2 linked regions of the Nothobranchius furzeri genome follow. The protein of the gene in region 1 purifies or fractionates together with the protein of each later gene. This does not show direct contact. Links are inferred from orthologs where the notes say so. Each region holds a gene or a part of one and is shown on either strand. Other genes may lie near its edges.

Region 1 (3,823 bases):
AATATTTTTCTAATTGGACTACTGGATTTAAACCCAAGCTAATTTATTTGCAAAGATCACAGCTGATCTGTACTGACCTGGGTTAGGCTAAGTGCCTCATAGCTCACATGCAAACACCTTCAATGTGTTGTGAATATAAGCTCCTACTGCTCGTGCATAATTCATAACACAATTTCAGTTTTTGCACCCCCATCCCCTTTCTGTCTTGGTTTCACCTGAAACCCAATGACTCACCATCAGCCTGCACATGGAGAACAGAACGCTGAAGAGGGTTTCCAGCGCCCACAGGCAGTCCTCAGTGCCACGCTCACCCTACAAGGATCACAAACACATCCATAAGTTCTCTCCCCTCAAGAGAAATAAAAATATAAAGACTCCACTGCAGACACTTGCTACGCACCCCACAGTCAAAGTCAACACAACGACTGAAGGACAGCCACAAAATCACTAATCAACACAATTTACTCCATAAAACAACAAATCTACTAACTATCTCTTCAGTACTTATTACATTTATGTTTCACCAGAGAAAAATTCTCAGATACGAAATGGATCTAGTGATACATTTCAATCAGGAGTTAATTTTGGAGCCGTTTTCTCACCTTCAGACGGCGCCTGTTGGTCCTGACGTACCAGTTGGTGAGCATGTCCACAAACTTGACCAGGCGAGGCACGACCGTGTACAAGCGGTAAGCTGCAACCAGAACCAACTGTCGAATTACGCTCCAAAGAATAAAGCATGATCTGGTTGCAGGCTCAGACATATTTCATGTTACTAAAGCTTAACAAGTATTTATTTAACTGAGAACATCTTCTGACTGTAGCCGAGAATAGCAGGAGGAGGTGAAGAAACATTTCTAAAAATGACAATAATTAAAAAGAGAGAGACAGAATGTGTCACCGTTCATCTCAGCCTTGAAGAACTGAATGAGAGACTGTGTGAACGACTGGATCCACTTGTCCATAATGTTGTCGCTCTGCTTCACCGTGTTCTCGTTGTACAGGAACTGGATCCTATCCTCCTGGATAATCATTGCAAACACAACAATTGTTTATATGTTCAGCACAGTTCATCACTAATGTAATCTGATTACAGTAATTGTATATTTTGTCTATTTAAAGTAGCATCGACACAAATATTTAAGGAGGGAAACATATTTCAGCCTTTTGCTCCTAATGATTTTAATCAAATTTTTAACAAAAGGAAAAATAAATGAATTTTAGTTCTGAAAAGTGGAAAAATCCTTTTCATCAAATTTGCAAAGAAATGATCATTTTTGGTCTGATTCCTTTCACTAGACAGTAAAAATAATACGAACACATTCAGATGAAGTCAAATAGCTTTTTTAATGTGATATTCAAGCGATGGTTTGCTTTTTTCATATAGAACTATGGGCTTGAGAATATAAATAGTTGGAGAAGAACAATTGTGTAAAGTTTTATTTATTTATTTATTTTACAAATATACCTTTTCCAATCTCTGAACATTCTGCACCAGGAAGCGATAGGCGTTGTACCACGGCAAGAAGACGTCCTTCAACACGTCTCGCACACCTTCCTCTTTGAATCGTAGGTTCTCCGCTCGCACCACAGGTGAGTTGATGAGATACAATCTAAACAAAGGCACAAGGAAAACATGGTTGTTTATAAGAATAAACAAAATGATTTTTTATATAGCTCCTCTCAAGATAAAAATCACAAGGAGCTTCAAAAGAACAAAAAAAAAAACAATTAATATATATATATATATATATATAAAGAGAGAGAGAGAGAGAGAGAGAGAGAGAGAGAGAGAGAGAGAGAGAGAGAGAGAGAGAGAGAGAGAGAGAGTTAGTGAGTGAAGCGGCTGGGATGAGAATCAGCTCCTCTAAATCGGAGACCGATCGTTCTTGATTCAGAAAAGGGTAGAATGTCTTCTCCGGGTCAGGGATGAGGTCCTGTCCCAAGTGGAGGAGTTTAAGTATCTCGGGGTCTTATTTATGAGTGAGGGAAAACTGGAGCATGAGATCGATAGGTGGACTGGTGCTGCATCTGCAGTGATGCGGGTGTTGTACCGGTCTGTCGTGGTGAAGAGAGAGCTGAGTCAGAAGGCGAAGCTCTCAATTTACCGGTCGATCTACGTTCCTATCCTCACCTATGGTCATGAGCTTTGGGTAGTGACCGAAAGAAAGAGATCGCGGATACAAGCGGCCGAAATGAGTTTTCTCCGAAGAGTGGCTGGGCTCTCCCTTAGAGATAGGGTGAAAAGCTCAGTCTTCCGGGAGGGGCTCGGAGTACACCCGCTGCTCCTCCACATCAAGAGGAGTCAGTTGAGGTGACTCCGGCATCTGGTCAGGATGCCTCCTGGACGCCTCCCTGGTGAGGTTTTCCGGGCATGTACAATCGGGAGGAGGCCCAGGACACATTGGGGGGACTATGTCTCTCACCTGGCCAGGGAACGCCTTGGGATTCCCCCGGAGGAGCTGGCACAAGTGGCTGGGGAGAGGGAAGTCTGGGCCTCTGAACTTAGGCTACTGCCCCCGCGACCTGACACCGGATAAGCGGATGAAAATGGATGGATGGATGGATATATATATATATATATATACTGTATATATATACAGTGATCCCTCGCTACTTCACGGTTCGTTTATCGCGGATTCACGACTTTGCGGATTTTTTCTTTGGAGCCTTATTCAAGGGAAATTCGCCGATTTGCGGTATTTTTCTATGAGAAATATCAAGAAATTCCTGTTTTTTTTCATCAATTTCATCATAAAATGCACTTTTTGAAATAAAACTATAAAAAAAAACAAGTAAAAAATTTTTTCTTGAGTTTTACCCACAAAAAGAGAATGTGATCATACGATAATTCAATATAGTACTGTATGTCAGACTGGTCGGCTGGATTCGGGAGTTGAGCTTGTAGGGAGCGTGGTTTCACAGACGCGGAAGTGAGAGCGTCGGTGAAACGCCGGCTCACGATCTAGGAAACCCCCGAGCGTTCGAGCGTCAACGAAGTGACACGGAAATGCCAGGCTTTCCAGAAGTAAGTAAGATAACTTACTATGAGCTGATAGTTCGTGGGATGGATCGGTAGGTTGGAAACTCTGATCATGAATCTGAAGAAACGATGACTGAGTGGTGAGCTGGAAAGGCGACTTCCGTTTATAGCCGTGACGTAGGTGCGGCGTGGAGGGAATCCCCGCGAGGGGCATGCTGGGAGTTGTGGTCCATAGTGGAGGCCGGCTAGCTGGAAGAGGCTGGCCTGGGAACTTGGGTTCTGACACTGTACTGTAAATATGGTGTCCCTACTTCGCGGATTTTCACCCATCGCGGCCAGGTCTGGAACGCATCTACCGCGATAAACGAGGGATCACTGTACATATATATATAGTGATTTTAAATGAGGTTGCATATATAAGTGAACCAATAACTTTTAACCCGACGGCTGAAGACAATTTTAAGATAATGTGATTTTACCAACTCATCTTGTTTTGCCTCTAATCCATGAAAGTTAAAACAAACAAACTTCATGTAATTACCTTTAACTGGTTTATTGAGCATCAACTCTGACATAAGTTTAAAATAAAGGCCTGAATAGGCAAAGCCATCAAGCACTAAATTATACACAAGGGACTGTAAATCAGGTAAAGGTTACAGTATACTGATGTGACAGAGAAACCTTGCAGAGTAGCCTTTGGTCTATTACATGCTCAGGCTGCTCAACTCAGCATAATTAGCGTACCATAAGTGGCTTTTCAGGAAATAAATAAATAAAATAAATGATTGAGGAGCCGGGAATAAGGACAGATTGTTGCCTTCTTCTTTTTTTAATTTAGCA
Region 2 (3,823 bases), on another chromosome or scaffold:
TTATGTGCTAAAGAGAGCTGTACATAGAGAACAGTAGCTCTACTCTAAGGCCCTCCCAGATATCCAAGCTTCTCAGTGAATAGAAGCCTGAGAGGATATGGGTGGGCGTGGCCAGCTCCAGCTTGTTTTCTTAAAGTGACAGAGTGCTGAAGCGACTCATTCCGGAAGGTCCTAAAATATCATGATGGATAAAACTGCTGAGATGGTTTATGTGAGAGGGATCTAGTGCAAAGAACTTCAGAAACACATTTTGTATTGACCATAGAACTGTTATAACTTAAGAAAAATAAGTCTAAACGTGTCTTCTTTTAAGGAAATGCCAGTTGGATGACAGGCTGAAACTGTAATTTACCCTAAATTACAAACTGTTATTAACACGTTATTCTCCAGGCAACAGCCTCAAACTTTGCTCTTGTAAAATAAAACAGTTGTCTCATTCGCTTTAAGAAAACTCACTTGTCTTTGGGCCACATAGCGACATGGTTGTACAAAAAGTAGGAGAGATGGTTGGGCACCAAGTCTTTGCCAGACACACGGACATCCACAGGGTACCAGTACTCAAACTCTCTCCTCAGCCTCTGCAGGTGCTCCTTAGGGATGCTCGTCTTGGGGAACGGAGACGTTTTAAAGAAGATGAAGTCCCACACCTCTCTGGTCATCTGTTCTGGTCTGTGAAGGACAAAAACCAGAGGGAAAGGTAATATGTTTGAAAGTAGGCTGAAGGTCACTTCCGATTTAGGAATCAAGTTTGAGTCTACTTAACTTGGATTACAGCATGAAATTACATTTTTGTTTTGTTAATTAAAGCTAATGATTACAAAATAGTCTCTTCCACCTCACTGGTTATTTGAAGGCAGAAAACGGAGGGCCAGCTGCATTTAGTTTAACAGTTAATTATTATTATGTGAGTGAGTGTGTCTGTGGAGGGGTGCATTCCTACTTGATTCCCAGCGGTGAGGCTCCTTGACCATTGAGCACACCCCCCTGGAGGAGGTGGGCTACGGTGTAGTAAGCCATGTAGATCGTGGAGTCCGATAAAGACTCAATCAGCCACTGCTCGTCCCAAGGCAGCCGTGTTCCTATGGTAACCAGGAGATGGGCACCCATACAATCACACACAACCAGAGAGAGAGATGGAGGAGAGATTAAATTAGTAAGACAACATGGACCCAGAAATTAGACAAAACAAACTAATCAGATAATCTGACATCCACCCAGCTCTTGTTTGAGCATTTCCACAAAACTAAAAAGTTTCTTACCTAATTTATTCACAAGCTCTGAGTCCATAATGATGTTTGTGGAGAATTTAACATAAAAAATTCCCATTCTCACTCCGTCGTTGATCACAACAAGCTACTTTAATGTTCTGACATTCTACAGTCCCAAGTTAAAATCTCTTCATCACATTATAATAAGCACACATTTACATCTTTGTTCCAGAATCCAGACTGAGATTTTTTACAACAATCATATTTAGGTGAAAAGTCTATGAACAGCGTGCTTCATATCGGTCTACAGCACACCGTGCATCTGCCTGGCATTTTGTTGAAATTAGCTAAATGTAGACACATTTTCACAACGTCTACAGAAAGTCTGGGCTGTGCAGCAGTCTTGTAATGCATGCCAACTGGCCTTCACACTGCATCTATTCTTGTAGGAGAAGAGGCAGACTGTTGCTAAGCGCATAATTATCAGCCCTCTGTCTCCATCTATGGACCAAAAATGTCATCCATTAGGGATTTTTCCCCCTTCAGCTTTCACAAGCTTGTAAATAACAAGAGTAAAAGTTAGGATTTTACTTCTGGTTATGAGAACGTTAACATTAAAGTCGATGGATCACACACAGGCAAGGAGCTCACTTACCGAGCCCGTAGGTACGAGAGCAGGCATGTTCCTGCAGCCAGGCCAAAGTTGCCTCGAAGTTTCTCCTCGTCTCTTCACAAAATCTAATTGTTTTAAAGAATGTCAGGTAGTTTATTTTTATTGCAAACAAAGAAAACATACATTTTTTTTAAAACAGAAAAAAATATATAAAATCATCATACTTTTTTCTTCTTCTCTGTCTGAAAAGAAGTAGGACGAAGTCGAAACTTACATGTCCCTACCCCTTTTATACATATCATTCTGTACTTATCCTTAGTATTACTATACCAAATGTAACACAACACCACACTAAAACAACAAATAGTGCAAATCACACAAACAACCAACTGTTGTAAAATTAGCTTGCAGTTAACTTGTTCATTTTTCTATTTGGCATCAACAGACAACAAGGTAAATTAATACACTCGCTGGCTACTTTATTGGGTACACCTGTCCAACTGCTCGTTAATGCAAATTACGAATCAGCCAATCACATGGTGGCAACTCAATGCATTCAGGCACGTTGACATGGTCAAGACGATCTGCTGCAGTCCAAACCGAGCTTCAGAATGGGGAAGAAAGGTGATTTAAGTGACTTTTAACGTGGCATGGTTGTTGGTGCCAGAGGGGATGGTCTGAGTATTTCAGAAACTGCTGATCTTCTGGGATTGTTGCATGTAACCATCTCTAGGTTTTATAGAGAATGGTCCAAAAAAAGGGAAAACATCCAGTGAGTGGCAGTTCTGTGGGTGAGAACGCCTTGTCAGAGGAGACATGGCCAGACTGGTTCAAGCTACTAGAAAGGCAACAGTAACTCAAATACCCACGTGTTACAACCAAGCTATGCAGAAGAGCATCTCTGAATGCACAACATGTCGAAGCTTGAGGCAGACGGGCTACAGCAGCAGAAGACCACACCTGATGCCACTCCTGTCAGTTAAGAACAGGAAACTAAGGCAGGGTTTCCCCCAGTGCTTTATAAGCCTGGCGGCCCGCCATACTTTGCTTGGTCACCCGCCAGGCTAAGCATCATGCCCCGCCCTCCCCGACCCTACCATGCCCCCTAACACGAATGGCACACGGCAGTGAAACAAAAGTAGGGCCCTCCATCAGCTGATAGTGGTGAGAAACGGCAGCCGATCGTGTGCACGGGCTCGATTTCTGCTGTGACATTCGGATGATTGGGTAAGAATCAGGCATCAACAACATGAAAGCATGGATTCATCCTGCCTTGTATCAGTGGTGGTGTAATGGTGTGGGGGGCATTTTCTTGGCACACTTTGAACCCCTTAGTACTAACTGGCAGGATAATGCGCCATGTCATAAAGCTCGAATCTCAGACTGGTTTCTTGAACATGATAATGAGTTCTCTGTACTCAAATGGCCTCCACAGTCACCAGATCTCCATCCAATAGAGCGCCTTCGGGATGTAGTGGAACAGGAGATCTGCATCGTGGATGTGCAGCCGACAAATCTGCAGCAACTGTGTGATGCTATCATGTCAATATGCACCAAAATCTCTGAGGACTGTTTCCAGGACCTTGTTGAATCTATGGCACAATGGATTAAGCCAGCTCTGAAGGCAAAAGGGGGTCCAACCCAGTACTAGAAAGGTGTACCCAATAAAGTGGCCAGTGAATGTATATTCTCTTTAAACATATTTTGTGCATTCATTCTAAGTGTTTCTTCTGACTGTATTACTTGGTTCTTTTTAACACAAAGAAAGGTTGTTTTACCTTCTTTTTTGCTGACGTTTCAACTACTCCTGCATCCTTCTTCAGTAGGAGAAGGAAGTGACGCTCTGGAGAAGACTGCAGGAGTAGATCAAACGTGTTTCTGTGTTAAAAAGAACCAAGTAATGCAGTTAGAATGTATACTCTCCCTTAATCAAGACAACCTCTACAGGACAGGTGACACAGACAAAATGTGGAGGTCAGTTTCTCACGTCTCTAATGACTTC

The links.
Region 2: the proteins of iars1 (region 1) and lars1b purify together in Homo sapiens (affinity purification with mass spectrometry; 7 studies listed by BioGRID and IntAct, counting the BioPlex papers as one, with this or other methods). This does not show direct contact. The link is inferred for Nothobranchius furzeri from reciprocal best matches to the Homo sapiens genes IARS1 and LARS1.

What each region holds. Positions count from the first base shown.
Region 1 is NC_091743.1:62,670,791-62,674,613, reverse strand, and holds part of iars1 (isoleucine--tRNA ligase, cytoplasmic), read right to left. Parts: intron 1,614-3,823; coding exon 1,469-1,613; intron 1,023-1,468; coding exon 902-1,022; intron 695-901; coding exon 603-694; intron 313-602; coding exon 235-312; intron 1-234. UniProt on the Homo sapiens protein: Catalyzes the specific attachment of an amino acid to its cognate tRNA in a 2 step reaction: the amino acid (AA) is first activated by ATP to form AA-AMP and then transferred to the acceptor end of the tRNA.
Region 2 is NC_091750.1:55,309,756-55,313,578, forward strand, and holds part of lars1b (leucine--tRNA ligase, cytoplasmic), read right to left. Parts: coding exon 3,809-3,823; intron 1,947-3,808; coding exon 1,864-1,946; intron 1,080-1,863; coding exon 941-1,079; intron 670-940; coding exon 457-669; intron 1-456. UniProt on the Homo sapiens protein: Aminoacyl-tRNA synthetase that catalyzes the specific attachment of leucine to its cognate tRNA (tRNA(Leu)).